Oryctolagus cuniculus: one gene and its partners. The protein of the gene in region 1 purifies or fractionates together with the protein of each later gene. This does not show direct contact. Links are inferred from orthologs where the notes say so. Each region holds a gene or a part of one and is shown in the gene's direction. Other genes may lie near its edges. The genes, in order: CAND1, DCUN1D3 and CUL2.

Region 1 (4,253 bases):
TCAGAAAAATGTTGTGTATATTATACAAAAGCATACACGAAGGCAGACCAGAGCAGCGACGGGCACTTTGGATACGTATTGTGAGGGCAAATCACGCTTCATCTGTTTTATTAACTGCTATTATCCGTACCTGAGTCTGACCTAGAAGACTCAGTAGCATTTGGTGAAAGTGGGAAAGAACGGTAAAGAAATGCCAAACCGGATTTGATGTTTTGGAAGTAGGATGCCCTTTCTAAAGGTCTGTTGTTGTCTTTAAACAAAATCTCTGACCAAGGTTAATTTTTCCTCTTTTTTAAAAGGCCTGCCAGCTAAATCACCCACCACCTCAAACTCAGATTTTTACGTGTGGACCCCTAGCTGGCAAATATTATCTGGAAAACTCCTAATATGAGGCAGATGAAACACTTGGATGGTATACAATGGCTCGGATAGCTCATCTCCGATGGTTGTGCTTGTACGTCTGAGGCAGCGACGAAATACTCAGCTGAAAGATCAAGTCACGAAAGCTGACGTACAGAAGATGGTCCTTTAGCTATTTCGGACAGAACGCGCAGGCCCACTGGTCTTTTACTAAAATTGGGCCGCCATTAGAGAGCGCGCTCTGCACTCCCGGAAGGAGTGCGTTAACCAGCGAAGTCGGGAGGCCCAAATGCCTCTACAGAGGCAAGGATTCGTGCAAGAGGCCGCCACTGGGTCTCTGCCAGGGACACCAACCGGACCGCAATGCGCCTGTCCGAACCGCAGCCGCCTAGCTCGGCAAACGTCGCCAACGAAGAGCGTGTGTTCACAGTACGAACCCGAGGCGGAAACGGAGCGGTGATTGAAAGGTCGTCCCCAGCACGCCTCCCGCGCCAGCCTGCAAATCCCAGCATTCACTCCTCCCACAGGAGCCAATGAGAACGCTACAAGTTCCTGCAGCCAATCACATCCCGACTCAGCGTAGCGCACGTTGAATTCTGGGACTTGTGGTTTTCACGTGGCAGCTTCAGTCTGGTGGTTAAAGGCAACAGGCCACGCGTCCGATTCAAAACGAAAACTCCCTCTTAGAATTCTTTATGGTCTCCAGGCTGTCCCCTTAATCACCATAATCTCCAGGCACTACACGCCTTTAAATTAGTGAACTTTTTATCTTAATGTCATACAGATAAGAAAATCAAGTATTTTCAGATTAAGGCCCGTTTGTAGCTTCCGTCCCTCGTCCTTTAACCGTCACCCTGAAATCTCGCGAGAATAGCCCCCTTCAGTCGTTGTCATGCCTCCTGGGAGGCGGTCCACGAGAAGACTGACATCGGCCTTAGCCAACAGAATTGCCCTTTAACAAGCGTCTCAAGCGTGCGCGGGGAGGCCTCCGTGAACTCTGACTTCGGCTTTCCGTAGCGTCCTCCGCCTGTCGCCCCGCCCCCGGAGCGAAGGAGGCGGGTTTTGGCCTCCTGCCCTAGCGATCGAGTGCGGAGGGAGTGGGAGCTAGACGGCCCGAGTGGAAGTGTCTGGGTCCCGGGAGAAGCCCTGCTGTGCGCCGTGCCGCCCATGAGTCCGCTCTCCCGCCAGCAGCGCGGTCGTTAGCCCAGCCCCGCAGCCTCTGCTTCCCCCGGGACGGGCCCACCCTCGCCGCGGAGGCAGCCTGCCGAGGCGCCTCCCTAGTCAGCGTCGGCGTCGCGCTGCGACCCTGGAAGCGGGAGCCGCCGCGAGCGGGAGGAGGAGCCCGAGCGGCGGCGGCGGCGGCGGCGGCGGCAGCGGGCAGCAGCACCAGCGGCGCCGGCGGGCGGGATCGGGGCCGTCAACATGGCGAGCGCCTCGTACCACATTTCCAACTTGCTGGAAAAAATGACATCCAGCGACAAGGACTTTAGGTGAGGCCGCAATCTGACCCTCACCCCACCTCGGGGGGCCCCCCGTCCGCGGCCCTGGCCCTCACGCAAGGCCCTGCCCCACCCCTTGGGCCTTCGCCGGCTTCCTCGCTTCACCGCGGCCGCCAGCCCGCCGCTCGGCTGGCTCCCTGATCCCGGGACCCCCCCCACCTTTTCCTCGCCCCGCTTCCAGCCCCCTCCCCCCTTCTTGCCTCGAGGCCGTTGCCACAGCCATCCCTAGGCCCCTTCCTTCCTGGCCTCTAAGCGCCCCCGCCGCAGGCCCTGACCCTACGGACGCCATCCTCGGCTCCCAGGTAGCGCCGAGGGGCGAGAGCACCCACCATTGTGTGGAAGGGGAGTTGCTCTGCGGCCGGGCCCGCGCGCCGGCCTTGCCGAGGCTTTAGGCCGCCCCGCTCACGGGGGCCCCCGCGGCCGCCTCCCTGGCTCCCGCAGGCTGGGGTCGGCGCAGCGATTCGCTTTGGTCGAGCCCTTCGCTGACTGAGTTCTGTACTTTTTTTCTTTGCATTCTTTTCGGTGTCGGAGCGGAGAAGTGGGGGAGGGGAGCCTGAAGGCAGAGACTTGGCCAGGAGGGTTTTCCCGCCAGCATCTCTTGTCAGTTTCCGTCGTCAGGTGAAACCCACGCAGGGTCTCGGGGTTTCAGCCTCATATGCCTACATCCAGAGTCCGAACGAGCCGGACCTTCCTGGAAGGAGTTCTCTGACACGGGGCTGGGGAATGCGAAGCTTTATACAGCAGTCTGTTTCAGGAGGCTTGTGCTGTTGCTTCCAGATTCTTGTCACATGCATGTTGAAGACATGCTGTGTTTTCACAAGTTGATTATCTGTGGGCCTTTTTTTTTTCCCCTCCTCGCACACTGCATTGATTGTTGCATTCCTTTACAAATAAATACATATGCTCTGTCTCTCACAAACATGCTTTTTTATTTCTGCACCTTCAGTTTTACACGTGTCATTTATGTGCATTTAAAAAGAACGAGCAAGTAATCTTCAACTAAGTTATAGCCAGTTTGTACGTGTTGTCTGAACAGGACGTTTTAACAGGAAAATGGGTCCAAACTCAGCCGGCAAGAAATGTTCTAACTTGGGAAAGGAGAGCCATGGAAAAAGCAATAATTGTGATCCTACTTAGATTGATGGTGTTTGTCATATTAAAATGGTCACTGAAGTGCAGTTTTGGTTCTGTGGCTTCAAAACCACATGCTTTTGGAAAAGTTTTGCTACCTAGGGAGTGTAAGTGTTGTGTCTGAAACTTAAAACCAGTTTGTTAACCTGAAAGATTTTGGCGTTGTTACTTTTTGGAAGTGAGGTGCTTGTTTTGGGTAGTTTGGAATTTGAGATGTGTGTAGTTGGAAGGGCAAAATCAAGATTATTGGGTGGAAAATAAAAGTTTTATGTTTTAAGAATGAGGATGCTGTTTGATTTCCTTTGGAACTTTGCTTGCTCCCAATTCCAGTTACTGAAATGGAAATGCTTGAGTGAGACTTGGATGTAACTTTCAGCCATGGAAAATCTGTGCTGTGTCTCTTCCTGCTTCTGTCAGTTTGTCTTATTCTGTAGAAGAACTGATCTATTCTTATTGTTTTTCATTTCAGTCTAAAGGTAGCACTTTCCCTGTTGTGCAGTTTTAACTTTACAGAATCCTATGTGGGTAATATATTTAGAAATACTTAGAAGTCATGTCATGTGGTGATACTGTACAGATAGATGTCTGTTGACTGAAGCCAGCTCTTTTCAATTTCTTGCAAAGGAAACATAGTATCAAGGTACTTTTAAGAGTTGTGGAAAATGGAATTAAAAGACAAGTTTATTCTGCTGCAAAAAACTTTTTTTTAATCCATGCATAGTTTTTTCATAATATGCATTTTCTATGAACTTTTTGAAAACCTTTGTGTAGGGTGTATGTCCCTGGGGTTTGGTTTTATTTTGTTTTAAACTATGTGAAGGAAGTAACAATGTGTGATGCTACTCTGTAGTTATTGCTGAATTTACTAAGAATTTTCTACTGATTTGGGTTGGAATGAACCAGAACATAGCTTGACTAGGTAGTGTAATATTAATATATAATAGTTGGTGAATGTTGTAGAAGCTTTGTTGAGGAATAGTAAGCAACTTCCAGCAATTTGACATCCCCGAGGTGTTTTTAATGAACTATGTTGTAAAAACTGTTTTGTAATGTGCTTCAGTTCACAGGCAAATCTTTGGAAGCTGAGGAATTTTTTGTATTAAGTTACAGATTTAAAGATTAATTGAAGTAGTGAGCATTTAAAGTAAACAGTTTTGAAGATTTTTCTGCCTAATTTCAGTATGGGTGTTTATCTTGATACAGTTGTTCTTTTTTAACTTCTTGTTAGAAATTTCTTTATTTTGGTATAAATAGCACAGATGA
Region 2 (4,262 bases), on another chromosome or scaffold:
TCCCAGGGCAGAGTGCCAGTTCTGAGTCCTAGGATCTCTGCTTCTGATCCAGCTTCCTCCTAATGCATCCTGGGAGGCAGCCTAAGTGCCTGGGAGGCTTAAGTGCTTGGGCTCTTTCCACCCATGGAGAGACCTGGATGGACTTCTAGGTTCCTGGCTTTGGCCTGGCCCAGCATAGTTGTTGTGGGCATTTGGGGAGTGAACCAGCACAAGAAAGATCTCTGTGTCTCTGTCTCTGTTGCCATTTAAGTAGATAAAAATAAACACGTAAGAAAAAAAGGAGCCCTGGATAGACAGGGTAGTCTCAGAGAAATTACATTCCCTTTAGGTCCCTTTCCGATGGGGGTGGCAGGGCCCCAAGCACTGGGGCCATCATCTGCTGCCTCCCAAGATGCAGGAGCAGGAGGCTGGGTCAGAAACTGAGTAGCTAGGACTCCAGGACGGCATGTGAGCATCCCAAGCAGTGGCTTATCCTTTTGCATCACAATTCCTGCCCCCATATCCTACCATTTTTAGAAGATCGTATTTAGACAAATCAGTCCTTTAGAGCAGAGACACATACCCCATTAGAAGCCTGCTAGGACTGTCATGTTTAATGAGAACTTGGCATGCATTCTGTACAGCCTCACTAAAGACATAAAAGGGAGGGAATAAAAAAAAAAAAAGCTCCTAGGTTAGGAGACTTTGCTTGGAGTACAGGGATGGTGAATGGCTTCCGTAGCTGAGCAAAGAAAGGGCCTTACACCTGCTATGTGGGATAGGCCCAGAAAGGGATCTGGAGAGATCAGGGATGAACTTTACTTTGATGTTTGGTTCTGCCCTTGTTCGCAGGCCTGACACTGCAAATCCCTTACCTCATTGTTAAGCTATTGTGAGACCCTATAGTTGTTTTGGGTATGGCCACTCCCTCCCTCTATTAATCCCATGTATGGAAAAAGAAAATCTGAGTGTGACGGTGTTAAAAACTAGAAAATAAACCTTATATTTGTACCCTCTGGCTTAATCCAGGTCCACATAAATTTTTTGCATGATGATGAATTGGCAAGACAGATTTCCTCTGGAATATTTGGCAGAACTGTGGTCTTTGATGTGTTCTGCACATGAATCAGCTTCTTTGTAACCTGTTACCTTAAGAATTTTAGGAATTTCCCATATTGGTTTTCCATATGTGCCATAGCCACTGCTTTTCCAAGGCAAGTTACAGAGCTGGCTTATCAGGGAGGTGATCTCCCTTCATTCCTTGTTGGCTCATTGAAACGCAGTGATCCCCAGGAAGCAGTCCCCAGAGGGTGGTGCCCCCGCCCATGCCCTGTGTTCTGTGTTCAAGAGGTGACTGCTTTCCAATTTCCTCCCAGGTTGGCTGGTTCCTCTGGCTGATGGCATGTTGAAGTACATGGGCCAGCGGCAGCGAGGGCATCCATTCCAGAGGGGGCCACTTTAGAGGCCAGGCCGCCAGCACCATGGGCCAGTGTGTCACCAAGTGCAAGAATCCCTCATCAACCTTGGGCAGCAAGAATGGAGACCGGGACTCCAGCAGCAAATCACACAGCAGGCGAAGTGCAGGCCACCGTGAGGAACAGGTGCCACCTTGTGGCAAGCCAGGTGGGGATATCCTCGTCAATGGGACCAAGAAGGCGGAGGCTGCCACTGAGGTCTGCCAGTTGCCAACGTCCTCGGGAGATGCTGGGAGGGAGTCCAAGTCCAATGCTGAAGAGTCTTCCTTGCAGAGGTTGGAAGAACTGTTCAGGCGCTACAAGGACGAGCGGGAGGATGCAATTTTGGAAGAAGGCATGGAACGCTTTTGCAATGACCTATGTGTCGACCCCACGGAATTTCGAGTGCTGCTCTTGGCTTGGAAGTTCCAGGCTGCTACCATGTGCAAATTCACCAGGTTAGTTACAAATACTTCATGTTACCAGGTGAGCAGAGGAGGAAACGGAGCAATGTTGTGCAGGAGTGCTCAGCTAGGATAACTGGGTCAGCTGCATGGGGTTTGGGGAAGGGAAAATCCTTGTGCTCTGACCAGTTTCTCAAAAGCAGATGTTTTGAGCTAAGTTGTGTTCCTGATCCAGAGAAGGCCTCCCCCTGCCACCTCCCTCCCAAGACTCCTCTGAGGGTTTAAAAAAGTAAGTGCCTGACTCTGTAGCAGACCCACTCAATAGGAATCTTGAGGTACTTGAGAATTCACTGTCCGTCCTGTGGCAGGTGCTGTGTGTGCCAGTACAGTGAGAACCTCCAGGGATGTGCCTCTGCCACTCCGTGAGCCCAGTTGTCCCTTCTCATCCTTACCGTATTGCCCTCAGCCAGACCTGTATGAAACAAGGACAGGTGGCCCAGTTATCAAGCAGCAGTTTCATGTCGTTGTGGTCTTATATCCCTGTAGAAGTTGCTTGTGGGTGAAGACGTGACAGGGTCACCCCAAGGGGTGGTTTGCTGAGCGCAGGTTATGAGACCTGGCCAAGCCATTTCTAGTCTATATGCCCCCAGGTAGCTTACCCTCCAGACCTGGACTCCCTAATCTTGGTGGGTACAGCAGTCCCAGAGAGGAAACCGTGCTGTCAGCTGGAAGTGTTACAAAGATGTTAAATATGTGTACGCAAGTTTTGTTATTTAATAGCACAGTTTTTATCTCTGGTGGCAGACTTAAATTTTATCCTGCCTCTCGGGCTCCAGAAGTGTCTCTTGGCTGTCACCAGAAAGATACCAAAACAACCCAGAGAGAATCGAAAGGGAGGCAGGAAGGCTTCTCCATCGAGGAGAAAGAGGCTGCAACCTCATCACCAGTGCAGGGCAGCAGACCCAGCAGGAGGCAGGGGACTAGCTGCCTGCCGTGTGCTTGGCAGTGTTGGAAACACTCGGTACTCGTGCTAACGTGTTTACCCCTCACCAGAACCCTGCAAGGTGAGGTGTAACATTTACTCACCACTTGGCAGATGAGGAAGGAGGACTACTTAGTGCAGGAGCTGGCATTTGATCCAGGCCATCCTGCCTCAATGCCATACTCTTGATTACTATACTCTGTTGCCCTCGGTAAATAATATCGGTTATAACTAATTTGTGCCTTCTTTCTGTTGCAGGAAGGAGTTTTTCGATGGCTGCAAGGCAATAAGTGCAGACAGCATTGACGGGATCTGTGCGCGGTTCCCTAGCCTCTTAACAGAAGCCAAACAGGAGGATAAATTCAAGGATCTCTACCGGTTTACATTTCAGTTTGGCCTGGACTCTGAAGAAGGGCAGCGGTCACTGCATCGGGAAATAGCCATTGCCCTGTGGAAACTAGTCTTCACTCAAAACAACCCTCCAGTATTGGACCAGTGGCTAAACTTCCTAACAGAGAACCCCTCGGGGATCAAGGGCATCTCCCGGGACACTTGGAACATGTTCCTTAACTTCACTCAGGTGATTGGCCCCGACCTCAGCAACTACAGTGAAGATGAGGCCTGGCCAAGTCTCTTTGATACCTTTGTGGAGTGGGAAATGGAGCGAAGGAAAAGAGAAGGGGAAGGGAGAGGTGCACTCAGCTCAGGGCCCGAGGGCTTGTGTCCCGAGGAGCAGACTTAGTGGCTCTGTCCCAGGAGCAGCAGCAAAGAGCTGCCTGCTGTCCTGCAGCCAACCAAGGAATTGGACCTTTCTGGAAATTACTGAAGATCCGGATATTTTCTACTTTACACCTTTCTCTGCCTTGTATCTGAAAGGGCTCTAAAATGCTGTATCATGTTTTAGGCACTTTCTTCATTTTTTGGTTATTTTGGTTATTTCTTTTTTTTGGGGGGGGTAATCCCCCAAAATATTTGAACCTGGCTACATGTTGTGTATCTTTTTTTGAAGCCTTCAGATAGAATAAGTCTGCCATTTCTTGCACAAATTGGATGATTTTTTTTTTTTTTTTTGGTGGGGGCCAGTATAGAGCCGGGTGGGGGGAATGGGACTGTTCGGTTGAATTAACATTACAAAATGATACAGTGCCAGATCTCAGTTTTGCATACTGTTTTTCAGGGCAGGTCTGTACTGTGTGTAGTGCTGTTTACATGGTTGAATTTAGGTTGTAATAATTATTTTTAAAGATTTACACAGATTTTGAGTAGCAGTGTTAACTGTTAACCACATTGCATTAATTTCCAGACAAGTTTAGAGCTCTTGGGGAGCTGAGGCCAGTCAAGAGCGTTTGTGTAGTCTGGTGATAACTTCCCTTTTAAGCTAATTTATCCAAAACCCTTATTTCCCTCACTTCTTGCTCATTCCTTCTTTGACCTACTGCATTT
Region 3 (3,510 bases), on another chromosome or scaffold:
ACCAGGTTGGGGAGCTGCACACAGGACATCAGCTGCTGTGTGGCTCTGCTGGCAGGAAGCCTCGGGAGTGGGCAGTGTCACAGGAGGAGGTGGTGTTGGCTGACTGTCGCTGGTTGCAGTTTGTATCTGGGTGATGACAGTGGTTTGAAAAAGACCGTCGCGTGCTTACCCGCGTTGTGAAGGTGGTGAATTAGAAGGTTACGGGGCAGATCCTGCGATCTGTGTTGTACCAAAGTTTAGCAGCTGTAGAACTGGACACTTCATGGGTAGGATATAAATGGTGTCCTGAGTCATTAAATAGCATTGATTGTAGTTGATTTTAGGAGATACTAGCTTCACGCGCCAAAGTCCTAGAACCTGCCCTCCGCACTTGGAAGTGGGTAGGCTGACCTGAGAGCGCAGCCTTCCTGCTGCTTTCTGGGTCTCCTCTGGTTTTGGCCTTTCCCTGGCCTCCAGTGGGCCTGAGGCTGCCTGAGGCCAGCTCTGGAGATGCGCAACTTCCCCCAAGTTAGCAGACTTCTGATTCTCCCCCAGTCATCCTCCCTCCCCCCTCAGCCCCACATGCCACCTGCAGGTAGTTTAACAAGCACAGTAAAGTCACTCGCACTGTGCTGTCAATGACTGATACGTGTAGCCCTTTAAGGGTTGTTTCTATTTTATTTTGGCCAAAAGCTCGCTGGCTGAAAAGACTCCCGGTTGATGAGTGGTGTGGTGAGCACCTTTTTAGCTGAGAGCCCTTCTTACCCACTACCCTTGCTTCTGTGACTTTGGCCCAAGCTCCTGGCTTCACAGGGGGCACGGCAGGAAGGACGCTGGGTCTGTGCCAGATCACCGACAAGGTGTGCAGGAGTCTGTCCCCTCCCAACATGAGCTTCTCGTGCCAGGGCAGGCTCGGGTGTCCTCCAGATGGTCACATGCACGCTGCTCCCTGGCCAGGCAGGCTCAGGGACTCCAGGGGCAGTCCCATGGTGCACGGGTTACAGGGATGCTGGATGTCGTGTCCTCTGTTGGAGTGCCTGGGGTCTGTTCTTGGCTGTGCTCCTGGTTCCAGCTTCCGGCCAGTGTGTGCCCTGGGAGGCCGCAGGTGATGGCTCAAGACCTGGGGTCCCTGCCACCCACATGGAGACCTGGATGGAGTTCCTGGCCCAACCCTGACTTGTGATGCATTTGAGGAGTAAGCCAGCGGATAGAATAGGACTTCTCTGTCTGTTTCCATCTTTTTCTGTTTCTCAAATTAAAGAAACTCAGCTACATAGCTTCATGCAGTACAGTGATTCCAAGCTGTACGGGCACGTTTCATTGAGCCTTGTTGTAGTTTTGTTTTGAAGTAGGAATGAGTTCTTAGTGTTAACCAGTCCATTGTGTGTAGCTCAGAGCTTTTATATAGGCTAAGATTTAATAAAGGTTTTGATTGACATGTTTGATTATTACTAAATATATTTTGACTTTGCTAATTTTCTGGAGAGCTTTAATGTGATGGTTAACTAGCATGCACATGGGTTTAATTTTTTATTGACTTGTAATACTTGTGCATTCTTCTGGGATACCACACTCTGATCAGTCTGCAGTGAGCATTTCCGTCGTGCACACACTGTGTGTTCCCACTTGACAAGGAGGGAGCGCCAGGTCAGGTTGTTGGGTTGGCGCCCGTGGTGCAGTGTGAGCTGTCCCTCTTAGTTTGGTGAGTAGTCACACGGTGGGGACTGCTTGTTCTGGTTCTTCCTGCTGCAATGCAGGCTTCTAAAGGCTGGTCCTTGTTCATGACTGTGATGGAATGTAGGTGACAGCCAGCAGCTTGAAGGAGAATGTGAAGTGGTGTCTAGAACATGGGTCTGGGCTGGTTACAGAAGCCTGGTCGTAACCCGTGCTGGGTCTCAGTGGCCCATTAGAAGTTGGCTGCCTGATGGCCTTGGTGCCATTACAAATTTCTGTTCATAGTAAAACTTAGTAGTCCATGACCATAAAAATATTTCCACAGGTTCTAGGTAGATTAAAAGATGAAGAAATTCGGTGTCGAAAATACTTACATCCAAGCTCCTATATCAAAGTGATCCATGAATGTCAGCAGCGGATGGTAGCAGACCACTTGCAGTTCCTGCATGCGGAATGTCATAACATCATTCGGCAAGAGAAGAAGAACGGTGAGTCCCATCAGAGACCCGCAACAGAAAGTGAGGCGTAAGCCCACCTCACGGGTGGGGTGCGGACAGCAGGCAGGTGGCCTCGTGGGACACCCACATCCCGCATCCGAGTGCTAGTGCAGTCCCCACGACTCTGCTCCTGACCAGCTCCCTGCTGATGTGAGCCCTGGGAGGCAGCAGTGGTAGCTCCAGTGCTTGGGCCCCTGCACCCCATTGGAGACCGGATGGAGCTCCTGGCCTCTGGCTTTGGACTGGGACAGCCCTGGCTGTGTGGGCATTCGGGAGTGAACCAGTGGACAGAAGATCTGTCTTTGTCTCTCTGCTTTTCAAATAAAATGAAAGTAAATAAGTATTTTAAACTCAGTTTTATATCATCTTCTAGCCACCATAGATTGAAAGCATTTGTTAATAATAGATTTTAAAATGTTTGATTTACTTTTTAAATAAATTATTAATAGTGTATTTTGAAAGATTATTCTGAAATATTTTGTTTTCAATATGAATCCTAAAGTTAGAAAAAAAAAAAAACGAGGAAAGTGTCTATAATTTTAAATGTCACAAGGACTAATTTCCTTAATATGTTCAGAATTACTTATATAAACAATAGGAGTAAAGGCAAAGTCTGTGAAAAGGAAATAGAAATAGACAATATAGAACAGTATTCAATCTGACTCAAAATACAGGAAATAGAACATTAAAATACACTGAGAAACTTAGAGTGAACAGTGGAAAAATGCAGTCTCTCAGATAAAGAAAAAATGGTTTGAAGAATTACCAGGCAGCACAAATAAACCTAACAAGACATGCTTACCTTTATAGAAAAGTGAATACTGTTAAAAAGCCACATCGACTTATGCATGCAGGGCAATCCAATCAAAACCCTGTGACTTTTCCTTGTAAGATTTTATTTATTTATTTGAGAGTGAGACAGTGAGAGGGAGAAACAGAGAGAGAGGTCTTCTGTCTGTTGGTTCACTCCCAAATGGCCACAACGTCCGGAGCTGTGCCGATCCGAAGCCAGGAGCCAGGTGCTAAACCCCCGTGATTTTTAGCAGCATTGATAAGCCAGGATGGTCTTGAAGAGCATGATGGGAAAACCGCAGTAGTTAAGATAGTGGGGGGTGCGCATTTGGCCCAGAGGCTGAGACACCTGCATCCTGTATTGGAGTGTAGGTTCTATCTATACCTGGCTCTGGCCCCTGGCTCCGGCTTCCTGCCGTGGGGACAGATGGCCCAAGTGTTTCGGTGCCTGCCATCTGTGTGGGAGACCTGGATGAGGTCCCTGGCTGCCGGCCTCAGTCCTGCCTGGGGACCATTGTGGGCATCTGGGGGGTGTGGTCCAGTGGGTGGGAGCTCTCTCTGTCTTTCT

What was found.
Region 2: the proteins of CAND1 (region 1) and DCUN1D3 purify together in Homo sapiens (affinity purification with western blotting; 3 studies listed by BioGRID, with this or other methods). This does not show direct contact. The link is inferred for Oryctolagus cuniculus from reciprocal best matches to the Homo sapiens genes CAND1 and DCUN1D3.
Region 3: the proteins of CAND1 (region 1) and CUL2 purify together in Homo sapiens (affinity purification with western blotting; 7 studies listed by BioGRID and IntAct, with this or other methods). This does not show direct contact. The link is inferred for Oryctolagus cuniculus from reciprocal best matches to the Homo sapiens genes CAND1 and CUL2.

Annotation. Positions count from the first base shown.
Region 1 is NC_091442.1:69,618,221-69,622,473, forward strand, and holds the start of CAND1 (cullin-associated NEDD8-dissociated protein 1), read left to right. Parts: upstream 1-1,450; 5' UTR 1,451-1,782; coding exon 1,783-1,850; intron 1,851-4,253. UniProt on the Homo sapiens protein: Key assembly factor of SCF (SKP1-CUL1-F-box protein) E3 ubiquitin ligase complexes that promotes the exchange of the substrate-recognition F-box subunit in SCF complexes, thereby playing a key role in the cellular repertoire of SCF complexes.
Region 2 is NC_091450.1:18,308,813-18,313,074, forward strand, and holds the start of DCUN1D3 (DCN1-like protein 3), read left to right. Parts: upstream 1-1,460; coding exon 1,461-1,891; exon of another isoform or gene 1,892-2,299; coding exon of another isoform or gene 2,300-2,309; exon of another isoform or gene 2,310-3,077; coding exon 3,078-3,561; 3' UTR 3,562-4,262. UniProt on the Homo sapiens protein: Contributes to the neddylation of all cullins by transferring NEDD8 from N-terminally acetylated NEDD8-conjugating E2s enzyme to different cullin C-terminal domain-RBX complexes and may play a role in the cell cycle progression by regulating the SCF ubiquitin E3 ligase complex, after UV damage.
Region 3 is NC_091444.1:107,487,816-107,491,325, forward strand, and holds part of CUL2 (cullin-2), read left to right. Parts: intron 1-1,978; coding exon 1,979-2,141; intron 2,142-3,510.